Caenorhabditis elegans: one gene and its partner. The protein of the gene in region 2 interacts with the protein of the main gene of each other region in a pairwise test. Each region holds a gene or a part of one and is shown on either strand. Other genes may lie near its edges.

Region 1 (5,142 bases), on a different chromosome or scaffold from region 2:
AATTAGATACTTTAGAGCCTGGAAGGCCATTTTGAGGGGAAAGAGTAAAATTTTACCGGAGACAGGAAAAAACGGAATTTTTGTTTCCGTAACTTCCGAAACCAAATTATAAAATCATAAATTACTGAAGAAATAGATAAACACAAAATGAAGAGAAAAAATCGTGATTCTATTAATTCGATCGATTTTCTGCCGATTCTACGCGGAAAAACGAGGCCAAGTGAGGGCATAATCTGATGATGACACGAGTAAAACATGTGGGAAAAAACCAGTCGCCCCTGACGACCTTTTCAGCAACCGTTTGATCCTCAGGTTGGGGAGAGGCAAAAAAGGAAAATCGACAATTGAATTTTTGTTGTGACAAACACAATTGAGAATTGTCAATCGGCGCCGCATGATGGATTGAAAGAGGGAGAGGCGACAACGATCAGAACCAGAAGAACAATAAGAAAAAAAAAACAAATGACCTCGTGATTTTCACTATTTTCTGAAAATTTTCTAATCTGCTTGGTTATTTTTTTCCAGCGAAACTATATATCGCTCCCCAACTTAGAATTACATGATATCACAAACATCAACCTAGAAATTAGATTTTCTAAAGAATCAAACACCTAATTTATTTGGACATATCTTGATTTCGATGGAATTTAACGCGAAACTAGACACTGTCAACAAAGTTTGACTACCTCAAAAAATTTTGAAACCTCTTAGAAAAAATTAACGTTATGGAAAGATTTTTCGGAAAAAGAAGCCTAAATAATCCAAAAGCACTGGAAAAACATGAGCTTGACAATCTTATGAATAACCAATCTCTTTCCATCAAATCATAAATTCAAAGATATAGAGTGAAGAGAGAATTTGACCAGTCTTGCATTTAAGCATCTCACATCAAAAATGACTCGGTTTCTCTTCTGGAAAATGTTGCTCAGATGGAGAGAGCGATGAAGCGTGCACACTTGCATGTCGGTCACACCAATCTAATTATCGTCTCTTCTGTCTCTTACGACTCAACGGAAAACGAAACACTTGTTATGGGACATAAAATAAGGGAATAGAAAATGGAGAGGAAAAAAGAGACGCTGTGAGAGAATGAGTGTTAGCGCGCAGGAGCGCGCGCCCACAGCAACCACTCAATTATTTATCGAAGGAAACGGGAAAAAAATGGAAGGAAAAATGCTGGACGACATCGGACAGCGACATTGCATCAAAATTATGAAAGACATAAGTGGCTCAAGCATGAGGGCTCACAATTTTTGGAATAAGAAACACTAGAAATTCTCCACCGACGCATAATTTTGCGAAATAAATTTTTTATGGCAATTCAAACTTTGAAGTGACAAAATTTCACACAAAAAATATATCAAAAATCCATAAAGACGCTCTAAATCGACGGGTCGACATCAATCGTTATCAAAAAAGAAACACAATATGATAAGAACTGGAATTTTTAACGATGCAATTCATACGATACCATATTTGCCCACGTTTTTCGCAAACATATGGTTACGTAAGAAAAATGGTGCAAACGGAGAATTGTTAAGACTCCAAGGTCTGGAGGTCAACATTCACTTGAAAAAATGAAAGAAAGATAGCTTATCGTGTATTTCTTCGTCATAGAAAGGTGCAGATAGAAACAATGAAGAATCAAAGAACATGGAGAATCGACAGACCTCCCATTCAACTGTTGGCTTTTGTGTGCTCACACCATCAGAAAAATGAGCAATCTTTTCGTTTTTTATTTTGTCGGAGCGTCGGGCACAGCGAAAAAGGAGAGCAAATGGATTGTTTAGTTAGAACGATCGACAACGAGCAGGCGCACTTTCTCATAGATCAAACATTTCAAACTTTTAAAGGAACGGCTAAGGGTTCTTTTTTTTTTAAATTAATTATCATGAATGACCAGAGGGTGACAACAAAATATACATTTTCGATAGAAAGTATTTCGATTTAATGTGTGATACTGATAAAGAAAAGATTGCAGATGAAACACGTTTCACTTCGAATTTCATGTGTACAGAGTTCGTTTTTATAACCAGCACGAAAAATTATCGATAACCAATTTTGCCGAGTGACTCAGACTGATTGTCTCGAAATTCAGACTTATTCCGGGTTTATGACGTCAACAAATAGGTGCGCTTCTCATAGTCATCATAAAAATACGGTCATTTTATGAAAAAATCAATGAACATTTCAGTTCTTTTACTCTAAATGCTCACGAATTTGCTTCTCAATGGCATTTTAAAATGCAGCTGCTGGTGACGTTTACAAAAAATCCTGCAATCAAAATTTCGATTTGCCGGCTGTATCCACAAGCTCAGACAATAACATCAACTCTTTGCTTTTTTAAAATGAAAATCTTGTTACAACTATCAAAGCTATTCCGAAGTTTATCAAGATTATGGTTTACGTAGTTGAGGTGAATTTCAAACGTTAAACCGAAATAATTTTAAACTATGCTGCAGACGAAACTACACAGCAGAAGAAAATGAAGGACAGCGACCAAAAAAGGAAAAATCGGAAAGCAAACACGGTTTAGTTACGACGAAGAAAAGGGAGAAATGTGGACATTTTCTAGACATGAATCGAAAAATGTTCATAGAGAATCACCAGAGGAAAGAATTTCGCTAGGAATTTACTTGATATTAGGAAAGGTTTTCTAAACTAAAATATATTCAACTCTCACATGATAATCATAATAAGTTTAAGCTATCTAATTTTACGAGGTGCGCGCTGAATTCTGCCAAAAAAAAAAACGCACCAACGACACCAGTGGTTCCGTCTCCAATTTCGTGATCTTGAGACTTGGAGAGCTCAACCATAAGCTTGGCAACGTGATGTTGCACATCCATTTTCTCCATGATAGTGGCTCCGTCGTTGGTGATGGTGACATCGCCGTCTGGAGAAACGAGCATCTTGTCGAGTCCACGTGGACCGAGAGATGTGCGAAGAGTGTTGGCCACAGCACGAGCGGCAAGAATATGACTCTGAAATAATGAAGTTAATTTTAAGAACAAACTTCAGGACTTGTCAAACATGAAAACATAACATTTAGAAACTAAATGTTCCGGTTAAAAAAATAATTATTACATACTTTCACAGCTTCAACTCCGGTGATACGCTTCTGGTTCTCCTGCTCACGCATAACGATGAACGGTTGCCCGCTCTCATCGAACAGTAGTTGCGCAGATGACTGCGCCATTTTCTTATCCAAGTTCCGTCTTGACAGACACTGAAAATATTAGCATGTTAAAAATTTTAATTAAGAGAAAATTATTTAAGTATAAGTTGTTGAAAGAGAATTGATTTTCAAAAATAAGAAAAAGAAACGAAATTCAGCATTTCGAAACAATGTTCTCGATATCAAACCCGCAGAATATTCTCGAGGAATGAATAAAATGAACGAAAGAAAATTGGAATAGCAACATTGGCAGCTGTTCGGTTATTCGGGATCTTCTCGAAGAATTTTAAAATGCAATGATACCAAGAACACTGAAAATCGACCTAAAATGCTAAATCTGAGTGCAGAGCGGACAGAAACTGGAAATAGGTTTGAATTTTAAATTTCTGGATATAATTTCATCAGCCAACTTAAAAAAACTGAGGTGAAATGAACGTTTTTTGACGAAAAAAATTGAAAATCTTCTAGAAAAATGTCACATGTGCAATTGCGCGTCATGGTGTACGCGGCAAGTCCGCAATTTTTGACCGTAGTCGCAGAGAAATTCGGCGCCACTATTCTCGATTTAAATTGAACAGTGAAGGGAAAGAATTGGGTCTGAAATTATTTAAATAGTCAAATTTAAATAGTTAAATTTAAATTAAAGTTTAAACACTATAGCGAGAATAAATTTTATTTATTTAACAAATAATTTTCGCCTTTTTTAATTGAAAGTATTGAAAGCGTGAGTGCTAAATAGATTGAATGTGGAGATAAGGGGGGAAGGTTTTGAAAAAAAAACAAATAAAATTCAGTTTCAATTTTACGGTGGTCCGAGTTGGTGTTTGCTTCAAAAACCAGCGTTCGAGAAGTATAAGAAAAACGAATGGTAAGATCAAAAGGCTTGAGGAATATCTGAGAATACCGGTGTTCAGGATCGCTTAATTAAAAAAATCGATAAACGGAAAAAGAAAGCGGATAAGAAGAAAAAAGAAAAATCGACTCAGAAGAAGAATAGTCTTGAAAAGAAGAACAAGAAGGATAAAAAGAAGCAAAAGGAGAGAAAGAAGAAGAAAGAGGCACGAGATTCTTCAACTTCTGAAGAATCTGAAGAATCGGGTGAAAGTCAGAGACAGCTCGAGAAAGTCAAGTCAAAATTAGCAGTTGATGCTGCAAATATCGATAAGAAGGTATACATTCCGGATTTCTGAACTTTTTTGGATACTATTACACGTTCGGCAGACTGTTGCATTGGAGTATCGCGCATCATACAGTTTCAGGGTTACTGTACCTTCGAAAATACGCAAAAACCACGAGAACTACGGCATTTTGCGGTGTTTCTGCAATTTGCCGGCAAATGGAGCCTAATACATGCCTATTTAGGCATGCTGTAAAGTTATGCTTGATGGTGTTAGCGGACCTGGGAAGCTACCGTACTCGGAAAAGGTGTTGCAGAGAGCAAACTATGCCCAGAATTATACTTTCCTACTTCCAAATGCTTGATGAAAGTGGCAGCCATGAGGCAGGCGTAGGTCGCCTTTATGCCTACTTTTTCGGTTATAATTTGATATTTATGTACTCATTTTCAGTATCGCATGGCGGGATCTCTGTTCCGAAAACCGGAAGATCCTCCGAACTTTGCCCGGAAAGTGCTGGAAGCCGAATGGCGAGAGATGTATGTCGATCCAAAAGTCACAATTGAGACGGTGAAAACATTGAACACTTACCTCAAGACACGTGCTGAATTGAGATCGACGGATCATGTGGTCATTGCTGAGAAGTTAGTGGAATAAGAGTTGCCTCGCAAAGTGCCTACCTGTGCCTTTATCAAGCCTAACTGCGTGTCTACCTTATGCATGCCTACGTAAGGCATCCATGCCTACATAATTACTTTATTCCTACCTAGACGTCTACTTTATGGCTACCCGTGTGCCTACTCTATGGTTAGAAGGCATCTATTAAATGCCTAGTTCATGCCTACCAAC
Region 2 (4,663 bases):
TTTTAGTTTTCAAATAGAATATGTGGAATCGCTAAAAGTAAGTTTTGTAAGGTGATTGAAACTGGACACAAGGCGGGCGGGCGTTTTCATTGCTAAAACTTCAAAAAACAATTACAATTGTCGGCAGCATTTTTCATTGCAAATTATCTATTGTAAAACATTTTTGCATACTAATGTAATTTGCACTCAGATAGCAATCAAACTATTCGAGAAAGATCCGAATGAAGTTAACATATTGACTTCCTTAATGAGAACGGGAGATATTCCTAAATTTGTTTCCAAGACAACTAGAATGTACCGTATTCAAGTGAGTTAAAATTTTCGCCATGTAAGTAAAGTCCGCATTTCAGAACGAAGTTTGCAACAAAACTGAAATATTTCAATTTTCGATCGGAAATAAAGTTGTCAGCTGTCCTCTTTACGATGGGTTGGCTTTTCTTGACAATAATTCAACACATATTGTGCAATGTCCAACATATTGTGAAGTTTGCAAGAAAATGTTCATTTGTTCGAAAAGATCATTGACAGGTCAGTTTTTAGAACTTTGAAAAATCACAATTTCTGTTTTCAGGAATCATCTACACACCGGATGGTCGCAAAAAAGATTCAATTGATTTTCAATATGGTTTTCTTGATCAACCTGTTGTTCGCGGCGTCGACTGGTCAATTTTTGTTGTGTATATTTTCATATTTGCCTTATGTGCAAATATTATAACTTTTGCGTTTTCAGATAATTAAATAATAAATAGTTTATTCAATTAAACTTGAATACAGATCAAAGCAAGCACAAAACTCATGCACGGGAATAGACTTAATCACTGGAACTATGAGTTCTATTTTCGAAAAAAACAATCTAATTTAAAATTGATCAATTACGAACCTGTACAATACGGAGAGACACAAAAACACAGAAATGCAAAACAGTTAAACTTTAAAAGCTCCTGGACACATAGTGAGACCTTTCGAATAGAAATCAGAACCCGTATCAATTGATTCTTGAATCAGCTTTTTCCAACATTCCATTCCCATAACACCTCCAAACTTCTTGAAACTTTTCTCGACCCATTCGTTGTTAAGGTACGTACTACGGTAGAAATCTCCTGGGTCACAAGCCAGTGTAACAATCGTAAGACGATGCTTGATAGCAGATTTTCTGGCTCTGAAAATTGTGTTCATCAAGATTTGATAGCCAAGGTATACGCAAGGTATATTGATACGCTTGCGTAAACTAAACTATTAAAACATATTTTTTAACGCAAAAATTTAAATGTACTAGTAAACGCTTAAGTCGTCAAAAGACAACGAATAAATACTCTAGACGGATTAGTTTGCAATGATGTCAGTTTGAATTACTTACTTGTTCTGATAGGCTTTGTAAAGAGAAACAAGGAAGTTGAGTGATGTTGACGGTCCCACATTATAACCTTTTTCATCGAGAATTCTCATTGTAGCTACTGATGCAATATCAGGCATTTTCATGGCTTCATGGATTACATTTCTTGTTAAACTTGTTGTTTCTCCGTACCACACTGGTTCAATATCATATCCGTAACCAATTCCAGCAATCCCTGGAGGTGTCCAAATACCTGCACCAGATTGATTTGTGAATTTATGTCCAATTACATAATCGTAGAATAAAGAGTATTGAGAATCGGAGAGTACGACTTTTGTAGGTGCTCCATATCTAGCGACATATCTGCCAACTGACGAAATAGTTCCACCGGTTCCTGCTGAATGAACAAAGTAGTCAGGGATTTTGACAATTTGCTCTTTGTCCTTTTTGAGTTGAACAATAATTTCATGATAGACATTTGTGGACTCAAAATAAAAGTCTCCACTTTCATGGAATTCTTCAGCTTTTTCAGCGTTTCCAAATTGATTCATGTAGAATCCGTGGTTTTTGTCGGCGAATTCCTTAGCTTTTGCATTGCGAAGAGCCACAGGAACCTGAAACAAAGCAAAACTTACAATAATTTTTTTTATTTTTCTGCTTCTTTCTCGACATTTTCCAACTTTCTTAACAACGCTTCCCTCATCTTTAAAAATTTTAACGCGAAATTTCACACAATAAAAGTTGTTTCTCTATAAAGAAATTTTATAAGAAATTGGCGTTGAGTTGAATGAGAAAGTTTTGGGGTTAGAGTTCTTAAAAACTGGAAAAACTTTGGCTAACTCAAAAAATTGGTCAATATTAAATGAAAATTAAACCAAAAATACTGTATGTGACTCTGTGTAAGTAGAAGAAGTACCTTGATAATTTTTCCTCCGAAACTCTCAATTTGCTTGACTTTCTCCTTTTCCAAATTATCAGCAACGACAGCATAGTATGGGACATTGACTAAAGTACACATGTAGGCTTCAGCAGACCCAGTATTACCAGATGTTGAGTCGTAGACAGCGGATGTTTTTGAAGTCACTTTTCCTGGAAATTTTAAAATTTGCAGAAATTTTTTTTGAGAAATGTTATTTATTTAACGTTTCTGGACTAGCTTACTCATAGCTCTCATACTCATAGCTTAGCAGTAAAAAACCTGCAGAATATAAGTTTTCGCAGATACACTGTACTTCACCAATTAAATAACATACTAACCTTCTGTAATAGCCCAAAGAAGAAGAGCCCATGCAAATCTGTGCTTCAACGTTCTCGTAGCTGTGGCAGTTTCATTTTTGAAGAAAATGTCGGCGTTCGGGAAACCAGGGGGACTGAATTTTGTCATTGGTGTGTGTCCCATCTTTCGTCGTTCATTCCATAATTTTTGAATTGCTCCGAGCCTCCATTTTGCTTCATCTAAAAATATTTTATGTTTATTGAATTAAAAAGACCTTGAGAAAAAAAAAACTAACAATCAGGTACAGCATCCTCATTCGGAATTCGACTTTCAGAAATTTTTGTTATATCTTCTGCAAGGCAACTTGCGGATATGCTCAGAAACAGAGCCAGAAGAAGTAGTTTCATGGCTGAAAACGATGAATTAAATTTGTGATTGATGTATCAATTGGAATTTTCTTTTATAAGTCCGGGGTCACGCCCACAAGTACAGTAGGAAGATTGAAATTTCGAACGCAATGAAGAGCATGACCACGCCCACAAATTAATGAAAGAGCACAGTTTCCGGAGTCAAACAACTATTATAGTATACATGGTTCATGGAGTGTTTAGAAAGTGAACTTTATAAAAAACTTGAAATGAAAAGTAAACATTAAAAAAATAAGTGATGCGACTATTTATGAATCTAAGTTTTCTTTTTGCAAGAGTTCCGGTTTCAATGATAAGCTGATCAAAATTAAACTCATTTCTTATATGACTTGAAATGATACTCATTTTGAAATAGTGCTTCAAAACAAAAAATAATACCTGGACAATACAAAATTCTCTAATTTTTGAAATGTAGAAATTAAATTTTTCTTAAACTCTGCTAAATGTCATAGGAAGCTTTCTATTCAAAAAATTGCGCGTAAAAGGATATTTTCTAAAATAATATATAGTAAATTTAAGGTTGGTAAAAAGAACTGAAAGATAACTTTTTCATGAGACTGTCTGTCCGCGTGCAAGGCGATATATGCCTGCCCCGTGCCTACTGCCAAAATACACGATAATCCATTTTTAAGTTTCAGTCGAAATTTAAACGCTAGAGAGTTTCAAAACCTTCTCGGCAATTCGGCACCACTTTTATACAAACTTTCCGCACTTTTAATATATATAAGGCTCGAACATTTTTATTATATTGAATTTCCCATAATTGTTTAGAAATAAATCCGCCAGTCCCAAAATTGTTGCATAAATTTGGATATGAAGGTTATTTGCAAAACGATAAAAATCTTTGAAGACACTGAATAAACGAATAACACCCAGATTTGGATCTTCCTGTGGAGATTTGAAAGTTCCCCAGAAAACCTAAAAAACAAAAATATAAAATCATGGTTACAGTAGCCTGAGCTACCCTCCAAGTGTTCTTTTCCTTGCAACTAATGCTTTTAAAGCACAATAAAGATTCGTTCGTTAATTTCTTTGTTTTACGTATTTTGTTCAGTCCAAGTAAACCAAGAATCGGAGCTGATCACTGATGTCTGGTTGTCTCTAGATCAGTTTCTTGCCATTTTTCTAAAAATGTCAAGTCAAAAAAATTTTGATTTGAATTTAGATTCCGGAAACCGGAAGCAGTTTATACTAAGATGATTTGATTTAATTAAAACTACTACATACACTACGGCTTCTCAAATTTTGTTTCAAATCGCATCATCTTCTGAAATGATATCATTTTGAAGCGGTATACAAATTAAAATGAAGCATGTAGGTCAAATGATGTCATATCTTTCTTGCACCTTTGTCTTAATTCATTTTAAACTCATAGAAATTATTGAAGAGATTAGTCTGGAAAAGTATGATGTGTTACTGCTTTCAAACAAAAGATTTGCCAATTGTAAGAGAACAAGGAAATAAACAAAAAAGAACAATTTCAGTACGTCAAGAGGTTTAAATGTTGCAAATTAATTAATTTGATTGCAGAAAAACATCTGTTCGTTTTCAATCTAGAGTAAAGGTTTTAAATTTTGACTACATTACTTTCTAGAAATTTAAGAGTTTTTAAAAATTTAACTCAATTTTGTTCAGATTTTTCACCCGAAAATTACAATTTGTCGAAAACTATTTATACAAACACTC

What was found.
Region 1: the proteins of F13B12.4 (region 2) and cct-5 interact in a two-hybrid assay, tested with the Caenorhabditis elegans proteins (one large-scale study listed by BioGRID).

The regions. Positions count from the first base shown.
Region 1 is NC_003281.10:4,504,886-4,510,027, forward strand, and holds the start of cct-5 (T-complex protein 1 subunit epsilon), read right to left. Parts: upstream 3,230-5,142; 5' UTR 3,200-3,229; coding exon 3,092-3,199; intron 2,985-3,091; coding exon 2,759-2,984; intron 1-2,758. Other genes in the region: F25F2.1 (Protein kinase domain-containing protein), read left to right, coding at 4,044-4,046, 4,093-4,347, 4,747-4,937.
Region 2 is NC_003282.8:10,443,847-10,448,509, forward strand, and holds F13B12.4 (Putative pyridoxal-phosphate dependent protein F13B12.4), read right to left. Parts: upstream 2,959-4,663; 5' UTR 2,957-2,958; coding exon 2,845-2,956; intron 2,789-2,844; coding exon 2,591-2,788; intron 2,423-2,590; coding exon 2,250-2,422; intron 1,948-2,249; coding exon 1,358-1,947; intron 1,160-1,357; coding exon 925-1,159; 3' UTR 739-924; downstream 1-738. Other genes in the region: F13B12.7 (Neprosin domain-containing protein), read left to right, coding at 248-307, 351-528, 572-738.